Linked DNA regions of Notamacropus eugenii. The protein of the gene in region 2 purifies or fractionates together with the protein of the main gene of each other region. This does not show direct contact. Links are inferred from orthologs where the notes say so. Each region holds a gene or a part of one and is shown on either strand. Other genes may lie near its edges.

Region 1 (7,967 bases), on a different chromosome or scaffold from region 2:
TTAAAACACTCAGGCTCCACAGGATGTGATGTATCACAACAGCCTGTTCAGGAAGAGCACCCTGAGGTAAACTCAGGGAGGACAAAGAATATGCAACTACCTTCCTTGTTTCAGCAAATGCTTAGTGAGCCCCTCTCTGCTCCATTCCACAGTGACAGAAATGCCTTCTAACTGGCCGTCTGGCCCCTACTTCCAAATCATACTCCAGGTACGATTTCAGCCACTGTTGATGCTACCCCAATCTAAACACTCTCATTGAGGAGATAGGACACACACAAATCACTACCACCCTGGGCACTTGCTGTAGGACATGTATCATATAAATGGTATTAACTATACATGATCTAGGAATCAAGAGGAAAGAACCCTGTGAATGCCAGGAGTCATAAAAGGTTGAAGGGATACAGTAGGTAGCTGGATTTCAGCTCAAAGACTAAGCCAACTTGGGAGGAGGCTCAAATTCCAAGGAAGGGAAAAAAGATGAGCAAACCTGGAGGTGGGAAACAGAAAAACCAGAGCCTTGTTACTTGGTATAAAGTACTATTAAGTGGATATGGACTTCACTCTACATGGTAGCTGTATTCACCCCTTGTAAACAAGTGGAGGCCATCAGTCTATCATAGACCTTGCAAGGGGCAATCTGTACTCCTGGGATAGATAGGTTCTAGAGACACAAAATCAATACTGACAGAAGGGATCTGAGTAGAAACTAGACATGGGAAGAAATCATATCCTGAGTCTTTCAGTACTGTATCCACTAATGAAACAAAACAAAGCACATGGAATACTTTGTTTATTTTAAAGTAGTCACATTCCTTTCCAATCTAAAACACAACTTCAAAGACTACAAAGTACTCAACAGTCATAATCCTACTTTTTAGCTTAAGTAATTTCAGAAATGATGCTATGTTATAAACAATAACAGAACCTGCAAACTGGAGGCAGGACAGGACCTGAGGGTAGAGATCCATGATACTTGTGTAGTCCACACAGAAAAAATATACAAGTCACAAATTTGCTGCTTCTTCATCACAACTAGGACAAATATCTGACCATGTGTCTTTCATGCTCAAAAACCTTAGGGGTTCCTAGTGCCCATAGGCAAAAGCACAAACTTCTGGCCAGGCATTTATACCCTCCACAGTCTTGCTCCCATCCAGCCTTCTCAGCTTTATTTTGTACAAACCCTTTCAAGAACTCTACATTCTAGCCAAACTAGTGTTGCTCCCTTCACTTGATCCCTTCTCTCTTCTGTGCATTCATTGCCTCAGAATTTGGCATTCTCCAAGACTTAGTTAATGCGCCAGTTCCTCATGAAGCCTTCCATGATGCCTTTGCTCCCTGGATTTCTTTGCCTCCTCAATTTTCCTCTACACTTATCTGTGTACAAGCTGGAAGATAGAACATAAGCTTGAGGGGAGAGATTGTTTTATTGTCTCGAACATACTAGGCACTTCAGGTCTACACAAACAGCAGCATAATTAGCTGCACCATCTTGGACTACCAAGGACTATATAGAGACCAAACAGAGACTTGCTCCTGTATATATAATATGTAGCACATAGTGGTCTTCTTTGGAAAAATCATGTATTTTCCACTCATCTGGAAATCTGTTTCTCTAGCTAAGAAGAGAAAGATAACATCCTGAATGTCATTACTTTCAGTTTCACGGATTCGCAAACTGTAAAAATTATCTCATAATCCACTGCTGGACAGCTGGTTATTAGGAAATCCTTCATTACAATGAGCTGCTATCTGCCTTTGATAGACCCAGATGCTTTAGAAATGGAAAAGACTGTAGAAATCATGTAGTTCAACTCCCTGAATTTTGCAGATCAAAGATTTCAGAGAGTTTAAGTGACCTGCCTACTTTAAGCCACACAGTCCTCCCAAAATGTAAAGGGTCATAGTTACAGCTCCTCCCTCCCCCCCAAAAAATGAAACCTCATTTTCACTTCAAACTGAGAAAACCTCTATTAAGGAGCTAACTAACAATGCTTAAAGCCACACTTCATAAAACAGGAATGACTTAATTTCATAATAGTGACAACAGGCTCTGATTAATGTGCATATAAAAGACAGCTAGTCAGCTAGTGGTGCAGTACATCGCTGTGGAATAAGGCAGAGCTAATGAAAAATTAACTGGCCCCTGTCAAATACAAACTCTGGTGTGAATATCAGTCACCACGATCAAATAAAGTGTCCAGTTTAGTCATCCCTTTAATTCTACAATAAATTTCCTAAGAAAGCTGGAATCATATCTTTCATAATTTAGGAATAAACTATTTCACGAGTGAGAGGATAATATGGAATAACACACCCAACCACTATGGAGTCAAACAAGAATCTCAGATCTGAGCAAAACTTTGGAGATGCTTCATCAGTACCACGTCAGGAAGGGAGCAGGGAAACTGTTTGGGGGGGAGGGGTGTCCACATGGAGCGGGCCCAGCCCCTTCCCCACCCCGCCCCAGGTGTTAGGAATTTCACGAGTAACTTCTCCCCTCCTCGGTCCTCGCCCGGCATGGGTGCAAGGACCTATCCCTTCCGAAAGGAGTGCGTGGTTCAGGGTTGGGAACCCCAGGGCCCTTGGGGATCTCTGGCTCCCATTCCAGCCTCCGGGCCCCCCCGCAAGCACCCCTGCTCAGCCCACGGGGCCACGGGCGGCTAGGGCTGGAAGGAGGGGCCACAGAGAGAAACTCGAGCCCCTCGCTGGGGAGATAAGGACACCGACGGTCGTAGAGGAGCAGCCACCCGCCCAGGTCTCGCAGCAAGACGCCCCCCTCGCAGCCCAAGCCTCGGGTGCTGCGCCCCTCCCCCCGTCCCCCGAGGCCCGCGGGCAGGAGGGAGGCGGGCTTGGTTCAGTACGGTCGGTCGCTCTCGCGCGGCCTGCCCGCACCTGAGGTCCGGCCACCGCGCCGGACTGGGCCGGGCCTGGGGCCCAGGCGGGGGGAGCCCGAGGGGCAGGGAAGAAGGGAGGGCGGGAGAGAGAGCGAGCCGAGGAGGCCGCTGCCTCCGCACCGCCCCACACACTTACAGACCCCAGCGCCGCCGCCGCCCGCCGTCGGCCGGAAGTGCCCGAGCGTCCCCACGCCGACGTCATGCCGTCACATCCGCCGCGTCGCCGGGGCAACCGGGACAACGGCCGCCGGGAGCGGGGAGGGCTACGGGGGCGGGGCCGGGGGCGGGGCTAGACGAGCGGCGTGGATCCCAAAACCTTCCCGGTCGGTTGACCCCATCTTCTACGTGCTTCGTGTTTCTTCATCTACCAAATGGGCGCAGTAACCTCCTAGCGTGGTTGTGGGAACCAAACGAGAGACTCTAAAGTGCTTCCAGAGCAGTGGAAACGGTGATGAGCGTGATGGTCTATGTGGGGGAGGAAGAGGATAGAGCTGGGCGAGACCTAACAGAGTCCTGAGTTCAAATCCAGCCTGGGCTTGAGGAGTGATGGGATGAACTCTATTCCCTACAGAGCCCCCTCCCCGCACCCCATTCCACTTTGTGACAGCTCTAATGTTTATATATGTGTTTACATAATGTATAGTCCTAGTGGTGATGAAATTTTTCTTTACATTTGCCTTAATATACCTCTTTGCAACTTTTACGCCCTGCTTCTAGTTCTGCCTTTTAGGGAAAAGAAAAGTCAAATCCTTATTCCTTGAGATAGCCCTTTCCAAAACTCCCTACCCCACCCCCAGTCTTCTATAGTCTAAGCACTTCTAATTCCTTCGGTCTATCCTCATATGGCATTTTCCTTTTTAAAAAACATTTTATTTTACTATTTTAAACATTTAAAAAAATTTGAGTTCCAAATTATCTCACTCCCACCTCCTCTACCACTCACTGGGAGGACAATCATGATATCAATTATATGTTTGAAATCATGCAAACCTTTCCATATGAGCCTTATCACAAAAGGAAAAAAAAAGAAAGCAAGAAAATTATACTTCAATTTGCCTCAGAGTTCATCAGTTCTCTTTCTGGAGTTAGTATTTTTCTTCATGAATTCTTTGGAATTGTCTTGGAACATTGTAATGATCAGAGTGGCCAACTTTTTCAAAGCTGATCAACATTACAACGTGTAGCATGACTGTGAGAAATTAATATTTCTCATATTTAATTATTATATTAGGACCAGGGTTTTTCCCCTTTTCTACTTCCTCATCCAGAAACCAACCAGTGTGGGAAATCCCTCTTAGAGATTTACCGAGGCCAAGATTTAATCAGACAGTAAAAGAAATTCTAAGTTTGGGCTGATAGATGCATTTTTGCTCACTGTGTTTGCTCTGACAGATCTAGGGAAAGGTTGAGTCCCCCTATTATCAAGACAGGTGATATGGAAATTGATATATCTTTGACCAAGATTTGAGTGAACTTTTACCCCCAAGATTTTCATTTTAATATAGCCCATACCTCCCATTGTGTTAACCAAACAGAGCTGATTAGGCACCCCCTCAAGAACACTGATTCTTCAAAGGGCATGTAAACTGTGAGCCTACCACCATGAGGGATCTTTGGTCTAAGAGAGCTGGCCAAATGGCCATCCTTTTATTTTTTTATTTATATTATTAAATTTATTATTACTTTATTCATTACACCTTAAAGGAACCCTTGTCAGGACACTCTTCGGCTTATCATCCATCCTATATTGTGGTGCCAGTACTGCAGACACAGTCTCTCCTGGCTCCATTGCCTCCAATAATTCAGGGTGCTAGCCTGCTGGTCATTGACACTGAGCTTGTAGTTCACCAAAACCCTTAGATCTTTCTCAGACAGACTCTGCCTAATCTTGTCTTTCCAGTGTATATCAGAGGCAGAATTGGAACCCAGTTGTTCCTGTCTTTGAGGTGGTTCTCTCTCCACTACACCATACTGCCTCTCCTGACACACAGTAGGAGCTTAATAAAGTCTTGTTTGTTGATTAATGATACTTTCAGGAACCCATGGTCATATCTTTGTATACACAGAAGCCTTAACAAGTGAAAATTGTCTTAAAACTGGAGGAAGTTACATTGTTTTCATTGAGAGAAAACAAACACTAGACTGAGCAAATAATGGAAAGGTGTGGAGTTTCCATCTCTGAATATATCCAAGAAGAATCCAGACAGTGAGACACATATTCCCTTTCCAAGAGAGTCAAAGAGGTCTGAGATGGCTGATGCGCAGAGGCTTCCCAGCTCCAAGGATTCTGTATGATGTCTGCCTTGCAGTGATGATATATTCCTGCTTTGATCAGTTTCACACTCCTCTTTCCCACCTGGGATTTCCATTCCCCCTGACAGATCAAGCTGCTAGGTAACACTACACCTTTTTCTATGATACTCCCAGACTTATGCTTTACCCCTGTCCTGGGGCTTAAACAGTTCCATGAATCCTGAAGAATCCAAGTCCCTAGTTCTCAGGCAGGCCTAGGGACTTGCATGCAGACTTGGGAGTCTCCCATGCTAATGATTTATGTGCCTCTGTCCTGCAAACTAGTAATTAAAACTTGCATAACAGTGATCTTACCCTAACTAGCACCTCAACTGGACAAAGCATCAGCCTGGTTGTCTGTAATCTAAGTGTTCCAGATAACTTGACCTATGTCCAGTTTTATCCCAGTTCCCTGTGGTTATAGTTCACTGTTCAAAAAACAGGGACCAGCAAAATGGGTACATGATTTAGATATAAAGAGTGATGCCATAAGCAATTTAGGAGAGCTGGGAATAGTTTACCTGTCAGGTCTTATGAACAAACAAGAAATAGAAAGCATTCCAAGATGTAAAATGGATAATTTTGATTATATTAAATTTAAAAAGTTTTGCACAAAACCAATGCAAGCAAGATTAGAAGGAAAGCAGAAAGCTGGGAAACAATTTTTACAGCAAGTGTTTCTGAAAAAAGGCTCATTTCTGAAATACATAGAGAACTGAGTCAAATTTATAGAAATACAAGTCATTCTCCAATTGATAAGTGGTCAAAGGATATGAACAGGCAGTTTTCAGATGAAGAAATCAAAGCTGTAGTCCTATAAAAATGCTGTAAATCATTATTAGAGAAATGCAAATTAAAACAGTTCTGAGGTACTACCTCACACCTATCAGATTGGCTAATATGACAGAAAAGGAAAATGATGAATGTTGGAAAGGTCATGGGGAAAAAGGAACACTAATGCACTATTGGTGGAGTTGTGAACTGATCCAGTCTTTCTGAAGAGCACTTTGGAACTATGCTTCAAGGGCTATAAAACTGTGCATACCCTTTGACCCAGCAGTACCACTTCCAGGTCTGTATCCCAAAGAGATAAAAATGGAAAAAGGATCCATGTTTACAAATGTATAGCAGCCCTTTTTGTGATGGCAAAGAATTGGAAATTCAGAGGATTTCCATCAATTGGGGAATGGCTGAACAAGCTGTGGTATATGAATGTAATGGAATACTATTGTGCTATAGGAAATGATGAGCAGGCAGATTTCAGAAAAACCTGGAAAGACTTACTTGAACTGATGCTGAGTAAAGTGAACAAAACCAGGAGAACGTTGTACACAGTAAGAGCAACATTGTGGAATGATCAACTGTGATGGACTTAGCTCTTCTTGGCAATACAATGATCCAAGACAATTCCAAAGGACTAAGGAAGGAAAATGCTATCCATATCCAGAGAAAGAACTATGGAGATAGAAGCATACTATTTTCACTTGTGTGTGTGTACTTTTTTACAGATTGTTTCTTCTTTCACAATATGACTAATATGAAAATAGGTTTTACATGATTGCATATATAATCTATATCAAATTGCTTACCATTTTAGGGAGGGGGGAGAATAGGGAAGTAGGGAGAAAATTTAGAGCTCAAAATTTTATTTTAAAAAATGTTAAAAATTGCTTTTACATGTAGTTAGGAAAAAAAACTATTAAAAAAAACCAAATCAGGTTATAAAGCAAAGGGAATGGGAATGAGATATCATTCCATAAGCCAACTCCTCCTTTCCCTGTAGCCACCAGAAAAGAGAAACTGCAAATGGTCAAGTGCCTCCTGATCCCTGTGTCTTGCGCTTGAGCAGCATCATGTTCTCCAAGACTGACCACATCACTGTCAAGCTTTAGACCTATCAGTGGCTCCCTGTTATCCCTAGGATAAAATACGAAGTCTCTGGTCATGGTGGACATTGAAAGGCTATGTGCCTTTCTAGATTTGTTTCATATTTCTTCCTTTCACGTGCTCTATCTGAGCCAAACTGGCCCATTCAGGTCCCTGAACTCAATATTCCACCTCCAGTATCTCTTGCCTTTGCACAGACTACTCTGCTTGCCTGGAATCTGCTTCTGCCTCACCTCTCTACCTCATCAAAACAATAGCTTCTTTCAAGGGCCATCTTGGATTACTTGAACTTACTCCCACTTCCAGAGCTCTGAGATCAAGCTCACCTGCCTTCTTTCTGTTGCTCATACCTGACATTTGAAGGTCCCTTTGTACAAGTTCTACCTGCTTCCCCCAATACACGTACAGAGAGACACACACTTAGTAGAAAGTAAGCCTTTTGAGAATGAGAACTTTCATTTAGTACCTTATATGGTTGTTTTCTATGTATGTATGTGTGTGTTTGACTAAACCTTTAGTTTCATTAGTGAAGGAAATTCCTAGGGAAGGAATTCCTTCTACTAACACAGCAACCGGTCAGCAAGTTATAGTCTTTGAGAGTAGCCAGAACCAATAGAAATATAACTGGCTTGCTAGGATCAGCTAGACGGTATGAGTCAGAGATTGTGGTGGTTGTTTGTTGTCATTGTTTGTCCTTCATTTCAAAGACAACCAGTGATATCACAGGTGATTTCTTGACTGATTTGTGAATTGGATTTAAGTGAGGCAGAGTTGCACAAAGCCTCCAAAAAGCCTTACTCTCTCTTCCTGGGTCACTGAAGTCCAGTGGCAAGACAAAAGTTAAGATGACTGGTGATGACCAGGGATGTCTGACTAAGCTCTAAGTGC
Region 2 (7,718 bases):
GTAAAGAAGATAGACACCAAACACAAACAGATCACCAAATTTATATGCTAGAATATATAGGGAATAGAGTTTGAATCCCAACTTTTTTCCTTTTGGGGGTACAGAACCTATTATGACAGAAACACTTATTATGAACAATTAATAATTTCCAAGAGACAACCTGGACTACCACTTGGAATATCTATGACTTGACTTCTTAAGTATAACTGCTACCTTTTGCTTGTCTTCTCAATGGGTGGGAGAGGAGGAAAAAATGCAGGACTCAAAATTTTTAAAAAAATGCTAAAAATAAACAATTAAAAAAGCTATCACTGCTTTTAGGTTCCTTTCTTCTTTGGCACCATATCCAGAACTGAAAACATTAAGCTTATGTTTAAATATAAGAATTTAAAACTTTCAAGTAATCTAGAATGTGATTTCAGATTTCAATAATTTAAAAAAACTTTTAAAATATCCTTGTGCTGAAGCAGATGTACAAATAAAAGCTCCATTTTACAGACAGGGAAACTGATGCTCAGAAAGCATCTGACCACATTCGGAGAACTGGTAAATGAGGGATTCTTCTGAGTCTCACGTTTCCTCTTTGGTAAAAAAGGAGATTTGGACTAGATCTCTTAAGCCCATTTTTCAAATCTAAATGCCAAGGTCGAACCTGCCCCCCCACCTTTCAGGAGACCACCCATAATAAAAATCAGAGTAGGTCTTAAGGAAATCTGACATACTTACAACCAACTATTCTTAAAAGTAAATTCAAATGTTGCCAACACTTGACTCTCATCCAAATTGGTACACTTCCATGACATCAGAAATTGGGCTCCCATGCCCTAGTAAATGCTATTATGCCCAGAGCATGTGCTTAGCCCAAGCCCACGCCCTCTTCTCCTGGCCACCACCTCCTCTTCCCCAGGCAGGAAGAGTAGGCTGAGGTCAGAGCAGTAGGGCTGGTTTCTAGGCCACGTGATTCCTGTTTACAAACTTTGGGTTGTAAAAAAAAAAAAGGCACACCCCTGCTTCTCGCTCACCAGGGGGCAGCAGAGGCCTGGAAAGGTGGGAGGGTCCTGCCAGCCATTAACTGTGAAATACAAAAAATGCAGCCCAGGCCCAGCATCTTCCAAGGGCAAATAAACACAAACCGCAAGCCCGAGTCACAGGTTTTGAAAGTCAGCAGTTTGCTCGCCTCAACCTCTCAGATCATTCCCCACCCCTCCTATTCTTTGATGTCAAGTGCAGGGAAGCTCCCACATTCCTCCCTGCTGCAGAAAGGACCAGCCCCAAACCCCTCCCCTTACCCTAATGCCTCTGTTTGGCACCGGGCGAGGGGAGAGTGGTGAGATCAAGCGGGAGGGGGTGGGGGCAGAATGAACTCATTTTAAAATCTACAGATCTTATTTCACAACATTCATCCCTGAACTGAAAAACAAAAACAAACCACTACCACCTTTACCAGCAGAATGAATAATTTAGTGAAAAGACAAGAGAACAGTTTCTCCTTCCTGACTGACTCAGCTAGTTCAAAAGAAAAATAAACCGAGACCACCCACAAGAAACTACCAGCAAATTCCCTTTCCAAAGCCCTTTCTCCCTCCCCTCATCACTCTGTCCTCAACACCCCCTCAGTGCTCGGGAAAGTGGGTCAGGATTTTAAAATCTGGGCTATGACAAGTCAGGTTTGGTGGAAGCCGGTCTCCCCGTGAACTAAGCGGGCAGGTTAGGAGGGGAACGCCACAACTCAGGTTCTCGATACAGACAGCAGAAGCTCGCTCCTTTCTGAGCCTATCAAAGCCCTAAAGGCTAGGTCGGGGGTCTCCTCTAAGCGCACAGCACAACTTCCAAGGTCTGCTGTCTCCCGCCCCACCCTCTGGAAGCGGCCCCGCTTCTTCCAGCCAGGCAAGATGACCTTTGGAAAAAGGTCGGCGAAGAAGGCCCCTGAGGAGGGGGACAGTTGTAGGTCAGGGCAGCACCTGCCTTTTCCCGGGGTCTCCACTCACCGTCAAAGTCGGTGTAGACGGTGTCCTTGAGCAGCGCCCCGGACCCGAAGTCAATCAGCTTGAGCTCCCCCCGGTTGAGGTCGATGAGAATGTTTTCGTCCTTGATGTCTCGGTGCAGCACCCCACAACTGTGGCAGTGTCTGACAGCCTCCAGCACCTGCCAGAAGAAGCTCCGGGCCAGCTCCTCCTGCAGGGCTCCCCTCTCCGTGATGAAGTCGAAGAGGTCCTGGACCGGCTCCGGGCGCTCCAGCACCAGGATGAAGCTGTCGGGCCTCTCGAACCAGTCCAGAAGTCGGATGACCCCCGGGAACCCCGAACTCACTTTCTTCAACAGGAGAATTTCCATGGGCACTCGGCTGCCATTGGGCTGCGGACAAGAGTCACGGGGGTCAGGAGACACGCGGGGACACAGCCAGGCTCACGCCCCCACCCCCAAAGACACGGGTCCCAGGCACTTACCAGCTCCCCCCAGTCCGAGATCCTGTCCCGGTCCACGTGCTTGATAGCAACCTGCAAAGCCCCCAAGGGGAAGGTCGGAGGTTAGCGCCGAGCCCCCTCCCCAGGCCCGCCCCCGCACAGCTCTCCCTCCGCCTCCCCCTCCACTCCGAGCCGGACCCGGGGCCAGGCGGAGTCGAGGGAGGGCTCCCCGGCGTTTTCGGAGCCCGCTTACCGGCGCGCCATCTGCCAGCCGGGTGCCCGAGTAGACCGACCCAAAGCCACCGCTGCCCAGCAGCGGGCCCACCTGGTACTGCTTCTCCAGGGGCTCCTTTTCTTTCCCTACGGAGGAAAAAGCCCCGTCAGGGACTGTTGGAAGCGGCCCCCTGCCCATCCCGGCACCCCCCCGTCAGTGCCCGCATCTCCTTTCCTCCCGGGACGCCCCTTCCCCAAGCGTCCTCGTCCTCGCCGGCTCTGCCCTGCCGGCGGGCACCCTGCCCCGGCTCCCCGCCCCTGACCCCGCCGTCCTCCCTGCCCCGTAGGTCCGGTGCGGTCCGGTGCGGGTCCCCGCCCTCCACCCCGGGGTGGGTCCTCACCGGGAGGCAGCTTGGCCGGGTGCAGCTCCACGCAGGGCCCGGAGCACAGGTGGGCCAGGGAGTTGATCTTGGACAGCAGCATCCCAGGGTACAGGGGTGACAGGGCGATGGGGCGGACGCCGCTGGGGCCGGGCGGAGCGTGGGGGGGCAGGCGGGGATTGGGGTGGGGGCGCTGCCGGGGCGGCTTGGCGGGATCAGTGTGCCGCAGCGGAGCCCGCGGCGCTGCGGTGCCGAGCTCGCCGCTGCAGAAGCCGGCCCGTCGCTGCTGCCGCCGCCGCTGCCTCCGCCGCCGCCGCCGCTGCCGCTGCTGCTGCTGCTGCTGCGGCTGGTGCTGCGGCTGCTCGGGCTGGGGCTGCTCGGGCTGGGGCTGCTCGGGCTGCCGCTGCTGCTGCCGCCGCCTCTGCCCCGGGAGCCGCCGCCGCCGTCCCTGCTGTTTCTTAGACTTCTTCCGCCGCCGCCACCGCCACCGCCACCGCCGCCGCTTCTGCCGCCGCCGCCGCAGACGCCCGGCTCGCCCGGCAGCCAGGAGTAAAGGGGGCGTAGCGCGCGGGAGCGGGGGGGCGGGGGGCGGGCGCGCGAGCGGACGGGCGGGGCCTCTCCGGGAGGCTGGGCGGGGCGGTCGGGGGCGGGGCGCCCGGCTGCCGAGTCGCTGGTGGGAAGACAAGGGGGGGTGGAGGGTGGGGAAAGCAGCTGGGAAGGAGAATTCCCCACCGCACGGCCGGCACGACCAAACCCCGCCCCCGCAAGGCCGCCCCCAGCCAACCAGAGCCCAGCGGATCTGCATAAAGCAAATGCCCCGCCCCCAGAGGCCCCCTCCCCCCACCGTCAGAATGGTAGCTACGCCGCCTCGACGTGGCGGGAAGGAAAAGGCGCCAAAATGGAGGGGGAGGGGCGAGAGAAGTGCGGGCTCCGAGAGGAGGAGGCGGGAGCCGGGTGCAGGGCCACGGGGAGGAAGGATGGGGAGGGGCTTATCAATTCAAACCCAAACAATAACAAAAGCCATCAAAGGAAGCTTGGGGTCTGCCCACCTCTCCCTCTCTCTCCCTCTTTCTCCCTCCCTCTCTCTCTCCATCTCCTCCCTCTCTCCCCCACCTTCCCCCCTCTCCCCTCTCTCCTTTCTTTCCCTTTCTCTGTCTCTTCTTCTCCTCTGCCCCGTTCTCTTTCTCTATGCGGTAGAGCCTTGGGGTCAGGCTTGCCGTAGACCAAGTTCGGGGACGATTGGTGGCAGCGGAGGGGGTTGGGTGTGTATGTCGAGCAGGGTGGTCGGGGACGGGGGGTGAGTGTCTTTGTGTGTGTGCGTTTGTGTGTGCGTGACCTCCATGCCCGCTCTGCCTGGCTCAGTGGACGCGGGCTTCGCTCCCGGGGAGCCCGCGGTTGAAGGGCAAGCGCCCATCGGTGCGGGTGAGGGGGTGGAGGGTGGCACTGCAGGGCTGTGAGTCACCAAAGGAATGGGGATGTCTCATAGGTCTTTGGAACAAAAGTGGGCTCCGAACTCTCAAAAACCAAGGGAAGGGTTATTTATCCATCCGGATGATTTCAGCCTTTCTACAAGAGGTGGCATTTAGATACTTTGTACAATTAAAAAGAAGAAAAGAGGGCCAGGGTAGCCGTCATCCCCGCCTCCGCTCCAGACGCGGTTCAGCCCGGGTCCTGCGCAGGGTGCGGTGGCACGGGGACATCCCGCTCCTGCGAGCGGAGTCCCAGCCCATCTGGATCGGAAGCTCCCGGTTTCATTCACAGTTTTCACCTCCCTCCCCCACCCTGGCCACACCCAGCTTTGTTGCTACTATGTTGCTCGTCCCGAGCCTGCTCCGGCCCCACCTTCCTAACCGTGCACTAACTGCTAACAAAGTGCGAAAGGAGCCACTGAATTTTCCCTCCTTCCTTTAAGAGGATGTCTAACCATGAAACACACTGAGTTAAGATGACGGGGGGGAGCGCGGATGAGAACGGAGCACCTCCACCCGGACTCCACAGGTCCGAAACGGAATTCACTAAGCGTGCCACCGCCCCGAAGCATCCCGCAAACTTCTCTACTTCTGCTGAAGGCGTCCGGGTTCCCACCTCGCTCCAGACGTCGTGGACTCACCTCCCTCCCTTTGCTCCCCTCCACCTGGTGCTTTCAGCATCCTTCATTATCACCCAGTCACATCCCTTCTAATTCGTTCCTCAACTTCCAGTCACCCTTCTCCAATCCAGCCTCCATCCTGCTGATCTAAGTTTCCCCATTCCTCTCTTCCAAAGTCTTCCGTAGCTCCCTGCTGCCTCCAGGACAAAATACAAATTCCTCCATCTGGCAGGGATTTTCCAATGAAAGAGCACCTCCAAAATCAGGCTCCCACCTATGATTCTGAATTTATTTCATATTGTTCCCTTTTATTACCTCTGTTAGTATAATCTGCATCTCCTTTGCAGAGGTTGCCCTGCTGGGCTTGGAATGCACTTCTCCCCTTATTTCTTTCTGGAATTCCAGGTTTCCTTCAAAAGTTCAGATCCCATTCCTCTAGTCCATTCTGAAATTTCTTTGTATTTTCATTTGTGGGCACAGGTGTTTTATCCCTTCAGTACTTACGTTAGTAAGCTGCTTGAGGGTAGGAGCTGTTTTGTCTTTGTATGGTCTAAATGCATAGCACTATCACTTTTTCCTTAATTCCTCCTTCACATATCTTGAACATAGTAGGTTTGAAAATAAAACTGTTTAGTGAGCAGGATTTTATTTTAAATACTTCATGCTTAGGTTGCTGCTGCTTGAAAGGAAAAATAGGGAAGTGTCTGAATGACGGACAACCACTGTCAACTGTAACGTTTACATATTTTACTAAAAACCTGGCGCTGTTATTTGCTCATGTTATTTATGTAGCACATTTGTTAGTCAATTTCCTTTCATTTTCTTGTTTGTGTGTTATGGATTAATTAAGAATAACTCACATTTGTATCATTTCCTCAGAACAATCCCTTGACTTAAGTACAAATAGTATCCAACCAAACTCTGAGAGGTTCTCATTTGTCTGTTAGCACTCAGATAGTAAGTGTCTGAAATAGAATTTTAAAATCCAGGTCTTTCGACTCCCAATCCACCACACTGGTGCTGAAATCTAATGTTTGATGTTAAGACAATGAGACATAGTTTGTCCCAACATTCATTGCCTTTGTACATATTATTAAAATGGATGATGAATGAATACACTAAAAGACTAACTGACTCCAAACTCTTTAACTTGGCCCAGCCTTCCAGACAGGCCTTATTTCTCAGGAACCTTGATCTCAGGGCCTATCACTTCAATCTAAATTGGATTTGTTCTATCTCCTAGGATCCTATTATATTCCTAAATATGCTTTGCATTTTTCAACCTCATCGCTTCCTCTATCCTAATCAAGTACTGTTATTGTTGAGTTTTGTCGGGACTTCTCTACCCTGTGGGCCATAACACACCAATACTGTCTATGGAATTTTCTTGACAAAGATCCTGGAGTGGTTTGCTATTTCCCCCGCCAGGGTATTAAGGCAAACGGAGGTTAAGTGACTTGCCCAGGGGCACAGCTAAGTAAGTGTGTCTGAGACCGGATTTGAACTCTGGTCTTTCTGACTCCAGTACCAGTGCTCTATTCACCGAGCAAACTAGCTGCTCCAAACAATTACTCCTTAAAAATTCAGCTCTGAGCTCCTTCATGGAGCCTTCCTAGCCTACTCTACTCTCCTATTGCCTATTCTACATATTTGGTGATAAAATAATAATAAAAAATAAACCTTGTGGCATGTCTTGTACTGTTGTGTTATTTATTGCTGTTTTACTTTTTATCCATTGTCTGCCTAACCTCCAGCATAACCGCCTCAGAGGCAGTATGATTTTGATATTAAGTGCACTGCTCTTCAAATGATAAAGATTTGAGTTCTCACTGTATTTTGCCAAGTGTGCGACCGTAAACTTTGTAAATTATAAAGATTATATAAACATGAGCCATTTGTCCTTGCGTATATAGCTACATTTTATTGTTATTTTACATTTTCAATAGCATATAAGCACAATACCTTGAAGGCAGTAGGCTCTTAGTAAATATTCCTTGATTGAGAGTAGCCTGGAGCACTGAGGTTTAGGGCTTCATCCAGGTTTACAGCCAGCCTGTATCAAAGCTGAGCTTGAAGCTAAGATTTTTAGACCCTTTAAAAGCCCTGCTCACTAAAGCTGCCTATTTTCATTGAAAGGAGAAAGTGAAGCTTTACAGGATGACTTTTAAGAGAAATCTTAGGATCAATATTAAACCTTGTTGCAGTGTTGTGTGTATTATGCAGATCCTACTGTCTGAGTAAGCCCTTTTGCATGAGTCTTTACCAGCTTCATGATCAATTACTCTCTAACTCCTTTCAACTTCCTGAGCTGCAGTTTCCCCAGCATCAAAAATGGAGTACTAACTGTGCTTGTAGGAGAGGCATCATAGAGTAGTACGTAGAGAGCCAGCCTTGAAGCCTAGAAGACCTCCCTTAGCTCAAGTGACTCCTCTGACACATGGTGGCTGTTTGACCTTAGACATGTCACTCTCAGTTTTCCTCTTAGACTCCAAGTTTCAGTAAAGGTGTTCATCTACTTTGGAAGATGGAGATTCCTTCTTGAGAGTTTTCTATGTCAACGAAATCACAAACCTTAGTCCTGACCCTAATACCTGTACCTTCGTTGTTTTCAGGTGTGTCCCACTTAGCGAA

The links. The genes of interacting proteins can lie anywhere in the genome.
Region 1: the proteins of PIM1 (region 2) and EDC3 purify together in Homo sapiens (affinity purification with mass spectrometry; 3 studies listed by BioGRID and IntAct, counting the BioPlex papers as one, with this or other methods). This does not show direct contact. The link is inferred for Notamacropus eugenii from reciprocal best matches to the Homo sapiens genes PIM1 and EDC3.

The regions. Positions count from the first base shown.
Region 1 is NC_092872.1:241,458,912-241,466,878, reverse strand, and holds the start of EDC3 (enhancer of mRNA-decapping protein 3), read right to left. Parts: upstream 3,123-7,967; 5' UTR 3,041-3,122; exon of another isoform or gene 3,037-3,040; intron 2,315-3,036; exon of another isoform or gene 1-2,314. UniProt on the Homo sapiens protein: Binds single-stranded RNA. Involved in the process of mRNA degradation and in the positive regulation of mRNA decapping. May play a role in spermiogenesis and oogenesis.
Region 2 is NC_092873.1:94,838,433-94,846,150, reverse strand, and holds the start of PIM1 (serine/threonine-protein kinase pim-1), read right to left. Parts: upstream 3,102-7,718; coding exon 3,020-3,101; intron 2,766-3,019; coding exon 2,659-2,765; intron 2,499-2,658; coding exon 2,448-2,498; intron 2,356-2,447; coding exon 1,989-2,355; intron 1-1,988. UniProt on the Homo sapiens protein: Proto-oncogene with serine/threonine kinase activity involved in cell survival and cell proliferation and thus providing a selective advantage in tumorigenesis.